Caenorhabditis elegans: one gene and its partner. The protein of the gene in region 1 purifies or fractionates together with the protein of each later gene. This does not show direct contact. Each region holds a gene or a part of one and is shown on either strand. Other genes may lie near its edges. The genes, in order: C39B10.4 and ufd-1.

Region 1 (3,027 bases):
GGACTAGAGTACAAACGAGAGTTTATTTTTTGTCCTAGGATTTGTAGGCCAGATCAAAATTTCATCAGTAACAGAAACCTTGATTTTAATTATTTTTAACGGTCTACATTTACCTTTATGCTATCTAACAAATCATGAACATCTTAAAATTTGGTTTCGAAATTCAAATTATGCAGAAATTGACATTAGAGCGCCGTTGCAACTACGAAGGACGTGATGTTTTGTAAAAATTTATCACATGATTCATTTTTTCAAATATGCATTTTCAGGAAAAACTACCTTAGTTGAAAAGTTTTCATGCCAATTTTTTTGTGGGTTTATTAATCTAGTTGCAAAATTTAGTTTAATTTTTATTCTTTGAACATAAGAATAAATCAAATATACTAGGGATATAGAGAATTTCCATGTATCCCGATAAAATTAATAGTATTAAAAGATAATGCTACACAGCTCATCTCACAATTACTTACTCACGCGCTATTGGCCCATTCTACCAGAAAGTTTGTTGTCATCCCTCCAAGTGTTGCTCGTCTGTTGTGAAATATACTCATAACTCCTATCCAACGTCTTAGCAACTGCCGTATAATCACAATGATGATGACTAATCAAGAATGTGCAATTCATACAATACTCGGCGAATAACTCGTTTGAGTGTCTTTTAGACTATTCTTTTTGTCATTATGTTTATCACTAGCTTCCTGCTTAAGCTCGCTTGTCAAATTATAGTTTCCTGTTTTATTTACACCAACAACACAATTTTTACTTTGTTGGTACTGTTCTTGTTCTTTCTAAAACACAATTTTAATATTTTCATTTCCACAAAATACATTTTGTTCAGAGGGCTGAAACAACATAATAACATAACATGAAGTTGAACCAATAAACAATTAAACTTCATAGTTAGAAACTAATAAGGACTACTTTTTTTCGTTATTTTTCTCATTTTTTACGCCAATTTATTTGCAGAATCGCTTGGAAGCAACAAAACTGACATGAATGAGAACGAAGAATACCAACAGCTATTGGAGACGAAACGGCTCCAAGATCTTGACCTTCAGCATCACAGAGCCGAAATCAGACGCAATACAGATGTAATACAGTCCATGGAAGAACGCGTCGCCAGACAGGAAGAGATGCTCACGTTTTTAGTAGATGCGTCCAAGAAATACGATGAGGAACTTGAAGAAAAGCGTGATGAGAATAAAAAAGGTTAGTTTTACTTCGAGCGGAGAATACTGAAATTCAAATTTCAGCGACAAAAGAATACGAGGAGTTGGAAAAAGTGGCCGCTAACTTGAAGGAAATTATGAACCCCGGTGCATTCATGACTGAGCATGGGAGTCTTGCAACTTGCAGCTCAGCTACTGAGGTCAAAAATATTTCTCAAACCACACCTCAAACGGTAAATAAGAAGACTGTTACCAGAGGACACAAAAATAATCGTACCGGAAAGGAAACAATTGGAACAAAGCAAACAAATTCTGTTGAAACATCATAGTTAGTTTTTGAATATGTGAAGCAAGTCTAAAAGCTAGTCAAGTAAATGTTTTGATTGAGTAGTTTTCAAAATATTTAAGATTTTGAAATGTGACTGTCACAAAAACTATATAATGCCTCTCATTTACAGATCACATCTTCTGGCGGCATTGTTTATCTTTTGTCATCTATTTTGAGACTTTAAATTAATTATGATCAACATGTTTCAATGAATGATTTTGTTGAGAGAATATTTTTATTTAATATATTGCTTGAAGACGTTTTGGCGTTTATAGCCCTTCTCAAAAATTTTTGTAAACCTACCCGAACCATGAAATTTTTATTTTAAGGAATGTCTTCTGATCAGGTGCTGGACGAAGCTTCTCTGAAGGAACTTGTAGACAGAAACGCCGTTTTGATACAAGAACAAACTGAGTTTATCCAAAATCAGACGATCACAAAATACAACTTAGCAAGTACGCTAGAATTCCAGAAACGAAGGTTGAGCTTGTACTCTGATACTATTCACCTTAAAAGTGGATGTCTTTCACAAAGTAAGATGCTTCTAGAATTTTGTAAGTAGCCTTAAAAAAGTGTTGAATTAACTTTCTCCTTTTTAGGGAAAGATCAGATTGGTAAAGAGCAAAACACAATCAGTACCATGAAAAACTCTATTGAGGCTCGAAACCAACGTTCTACCGATGGAATGCAAAGTTCTGGTGGAAAAAGTTCGAGTGAACTTGGTGAAAGTTCACACAAAAAATTGAAGGTTTTCTTTCACGATTAATACAAACAATACTAAATTTTGTTGCAGAAATAAACCGTCTTCCATAGGTACAACATGTTCAAATGTTATCCTCCCATTTAAGATTCGCGTTCACTAACAACTTGTTCTTCAATATATGCAATCAAACGTGTTCTTGGTTTTTTGTATTATATTTCATCGCCATTTTTTTATGAGACGAAATTAATAAATTGTGAAAAATTTCACGAGTTGAACAAATACTTTTGAAGTTGAAGTTTTATCTGTTTCAGCTTTCGTGATCGAGGTATATGAACCGAACAAAGACTGCAGAGAGCCATGTTCAAACGAGATACATTTTTTTCACACAATTCTTATTAATTTAGCAGTAGATCTTGAAGTATGTAAAAAGTATGCGGAATGCATTCTAAAAACTTCGGAATTTTTGGTGCGACTCACTGTAATCAACTTTGTGCGGGTGCCCAATGTATTTTATATTTATAGTCCAGGACGCCAAGTGTTTATCTATATGCTCATTTTTAGCTCACTCGATTATGAACGAAAGACACATACGCGAGGGCTATGCGGCAACCGGCAACTAAGTTGCCATAGAAACGACATTTACATCCATTTCCGGATTCTACAGGAAATTACATTTTTCATAACGTCCAAATTGGTTTTGAATATCTGAAAAAAAATTTATGAAAAACAATTTCAACTTTTGTTTTGAACTGTGATAATGAATTATGTACATAATTATCTGTTATGAAATTGATGTGATTAACTGAACAGACTTTTTAAAGACTACA
Region 2 (4,087 bases), on another chromosome or scaffold:
ACTCCACAGGTCAAAGGTCTTGTCACGTTTGTTCGTGATCGAGAAACGAGTAGAGACAATCATATTTTCTATTCTGATCGATTAATGCGTATTCTTATTGAAGAATGCATGAATCATATGCCTTACAAAGATGTTGAGATTGAGATGGCCGGCGGTAGAAAGTGAGTAAATTTGAAACTGAAAAATGGTCACTGCAAGATTTGAAAATTCCTTTTTGAAATCTGAAATCAGCGCCAACCTTTCTGAAATTTCTGAATCTGACTGCAAAAATACGGTACCCGGTCTCGACACGACAAATGTTTGTTAAACAAAAGTGTGCGCCTTGAAATAGTACTGTAGTTTCAATTTCTTATCACTGCGGATTTTTTGTTTTATTTTAAGTTTTGTTTATGGTTTCAATCAAGTTTTTTAATACAGAAATAATTTTTATAGAAAAACTACAAAGAATCAATAAAAATTCTGCAGTAATTTAAAATTACAGTAATCTTTAAAGGCGCTCTTTCAGCAAAAAATCTGTCGAATCGAGACCGGCTACCGTATTTTCGGCTTAAGAATTGCAAAGTTTCAGATCTTGGTTTCGGATATTCGGATATTAATGTTCTATTGTTTCCAATATAAGAATAAACTTTTTCTAAATAAAACTTGAAAACTAAACAATTGAAAACGTCTAAAATAGGCTCAACCATCTAGAAACTTTAATTTTTATTTCAGAACTATTGGCAAACGAAAGGACGCTCAGATTTGTGGTCTTCCAATCATGCGAGCCGGCGAATGTATGGAGACTGCTCTTCGCTCAATCGTCAAGGACTGCGTGATCGGAAAAATTTTGATTCAAACCAACGAGACGACGTTTGATCCAGAACTTCATTATATACGTTTGCCACCACACATAACTCGATACAAAGTTATCATTATGGACGCCACCGTAACTACTGGGAGTGCTGCGATGATGGCAATTCGTGTACTTCTTGATCATGATGTTAAAGAGGAAGACATATTTGTTGCATCTCTGCTTATGGGTCAACAAGGTGCACATGCACTGGCTTATGCCTTCCCGAAGGTTTACAATTTTTTATTTGAATTAAAAATTATTAATTTTCAGGTTAAATTAATCACCACCGCAATGGACCACCAAATGACGGAAAATTGCTATCTGATTCCCGGAATGGGCAATTTTGGTGATCGATATTACGGAACCGGGCTCGAACAAGACATGGACGAGCCATTCGATATGTGATCATCTGTTATCACAAAAATGATCAATTTTCTTCATAATTTATCAAAGTTTCTGTTTTCCTTCCATTTCATCTGATGAATTCCTACTTTCTTGTTCCTTTTCACTAACTTTATTATTATAATTATAATTATTCATAATGTTCTTTCTTTCCCATCATCATATCCATCCTTCTATACATTTTGTTTCCATTTGTTGTTGAAATTTTATATGCTATTTCATTTTTTGTCGTCCTTTTTTTCCGTTCTTCATTTTATTGACTTCTCTTCATGATTTCTGGCATTCAGCTCGATAATTCATTTATACCCTGTTCTTTCTAGTGTTTTTTCGCGTTGTTTGTGACGGTTAAATTCTTCCCTCTACATCTTTGCGCGTTTCCACACAAAAATCTGTACACGACATTCGGTTTTCTCGTTGTTCCATTTCTTTTTTGTTCAACGGAGCGCGTTTGTCGTTGCAGGAATCGGTTTTAATATCATCATCCATTCACGCATTCTCTTTTTCATGTTGTTCATTGTGTTTTTCTTCAATTTTTGTCAAGTTTCCTTCACACGTGCATTTTAGTAATTTCTTTCTATAATAAATTGCAGTTTGTTAAATATTTAAATGATCAATGAGCTCTCTTTTCTTGGTTGGCTCATCCTCTTTGTATTTTTTGAATTATAGTTGAAGAAAACGTTAATAACTTTTCAGAAAACCAAAAATAAAAATGCAAGCGTGGATACAACAAGGACTTCACGGGATGCAGATGGGCGGCCGAGTCGGGAATTATGATCAAACTTTTGTGGTGAGCTTTTAAAATTCATTTCGAAAGATGTTTGCAAACTTTTTTCAACAACAACTTCGCCGAACTACTCGTCATTTCGATCTCATTGTAAATAATAAATTGGATTTCAAAGATTATATTTCAGCGTTAATAAACAATTAAATTTCAGGTATATGGGCCCGTATTCCTTCCCAATGCAACACAGTCAAAAATAAGCGAAATCAATTATGGTGGAAAGATTCTTCTGCCGTCATCTGCTCTCAACTTGCTCATGCAATATAATATTCCGATGCCAATGCTTTTCAAGGTTTGTTTTGTATAGCTTGAAGTAACTAGAAAACCATTAAAATTTACAGCTAACCAATATGGCTGTTCAACGTGTAACTCATTGCGGTGTTCTTGAATTTTCTGCTCCAGAAGGACAAGCCATTCTGCCACTTTGGATGATGCAGCAATTGGGACTTGACGATGGAGATACCATTCGCATTGAGTCTGCAACTCTTCCGAAAGCCACGTTTGCTAAATTGAAGCCGATGTCACTCGAGTTTCTGAATATTACTAATCCAAAGTGAGTTTTCATAAACTCTAATAATTTTTTGAAGTTTTTGAACAAAGTCCTATATTTTTCTATTTTTCAGAGCTGTTCTTGAAGTGGAACTTCGAAAATATGCATGCCTCACCAAAAACGATCGGATCCCAACATCATATGCTGGACAAACTCTCGAATTCCTCGTCGTTGATTTGAAACCGGCCAACTCTGTGTGCATCATTGAATGTGATGTTAATCTCGATTTCGATCCTCCAGAAGGCTACGTTGAACAACCGAGACAGGTGACTCCTGCTGTCACTGCCAAGCCGCCTGCGCCAGATGCATCCGCATTTATTGGAGCTGGACAAAAAGCTGGTGGTAGTGGAGGGACAGGACAAAATGCAACTTCTGTATTCGGAGGAGCTGGGCGTCGTCTCGATGGAAAGAAGAAGCCATCATCTTCAGTATCACTCTCAGATGGAACCGGTGTTAGTACGAGTAATGCAGCTCCAGTGGCGAATGATTTGCCAGCTATTCCACCAGTGGTTGTCAATGAAGACTACAAACCAGGTAATACTTGTTTCATCTGAAATAAACATTTCAAAATAATTGAAAAGTTAAATTTTATGATTTTCAGGTCGTGTTTCATTCCTTCGTTATGATTATAAACGTGTTGATGTTCTCGAAAAAGAGCTCCGAGAGAAAGAAGCCAGCAAGGCAGGACAACCGTCAAATGTCTTCCGTGGAGGCAATCGAACACTGAGAGGAGCCCGTTAATGTCTCGAATCTGGCCAATTGTGCTATGAATAACATCTTTCACTTCACATAACCTTGTAAAAGTTCATCGCCACTTTTTTGTACAGGATAAATTTATTTGAATATATTATTCTTTGATAAGTGTGATTCAGAGATGAAATTGAAGGAGATCTCCGGAGAAAAAAATGAAATAACTAATATTATAGAACTATTCACTTGTTACAAAAATGCCTTGTAAGGTTTAAAAAATTGCAGAACTTGTTTAGATCATAAATTCTGGCTAGCGTCTGTGCTTCCGAAAACACACAAATGGACTTTTTCAATTGAAATTTTTTTGTTGAATCGAAAAATTCAATATTCAAGGAGCTCGGCCATGAAGCTGATGAACCTTCAGCGATGTCAGTGATGGGTGGAGTGGTTTCTTATCCAAACTTCTATGAATGAAAAAACCTGGAGAAAATGCTGTTTTGAAAGCCAACTCTATTTTTTGCAGAAAAAGGTCCAAATAGTCGATAGCTTCACAAAAGATCACTCGAAAATAGTCAAGATTCTGCAGGAAAAAGTCAAGTCTCAATACAAAAATTACATCTACAACACCAAAAAATCATTAAAATAAATACTAATTTATTGATACGGCGAAAGAATCGAATAAAATACAAAAAAAAAGAAAGTAGGATAGCTGAAGCAAATCGAGAGAACGGAGAAACAAATTATACGAGTTGGGATACAAACATAAAATACCATAATTGCCTACAATGGCTGGATGTTGAAGATTGAAGAGGTGGATCAGTTCTTTGTCGGA

Evidence for each region.
Region 2: the proteins of C39B10.4 (region 1) and ufd-1 fractionate together in Caenorhabditis elegans (co-fractionation; one large-scale study listed by BioGRID). This does not show direct contact.

The regions. Positions count from the first base shown.
Region 1 is NC_003284.9:10,443,177-10,446,203, forward strand, and holds C39B10.4 (uncharacterized protein), read left to right. Parts: upstream 1-1,828; coding exon 1,829-2,030; intron 2,031-2,096; coding exon 2,097-2,263; downstream 2,264-3,027. Other genes in the region: C39B10.3 (RAB6-interacting golgin), read left to right, coding at 993-1,209, 1,254-1,498.
Region 2 is NC_003282.8:12,328,731-12,332,817, reverse strand, and holds ufd-1 (Ubiquitin fusion degradation protein 1 homolog), read left to right. Parts: upstream 1-1,927; 5' UTR 1,928-1,943; coding exon 1,944-2,021; intron 2,022-2,042; exon of another isoform or gene 2,043-2,048; coding exon of another isoform or gene 2,049-2,108; intron 2,109-2,169; coding exon 2,170-2,307; intron 2,308-2,356; coding exon 2,357-2,568; intron 2,569-2,638; coding exon 2,639-3,099; intron 3,100-3,166; coding exon 3,167-3,306; 3' UTR 3,307-3,410; downstream 3,411-4,087. Other genes in the region: F19B6.1 (Uridine kinase), read left to right, coding at 1-161, 712-1,060, 1,103-1,237. UniProt on the Caenorhabditis elegans protein: Functions at a post-ubiquitination step in the ubiquitin fusion degradation (UFD) pathway. In association with npl-4.1 and/or npl-4.2 and ATPase cdc-48.1 and/or cdc-48.2, involved in the cytoplasmic elimination of misfolded proteins exported from the ER.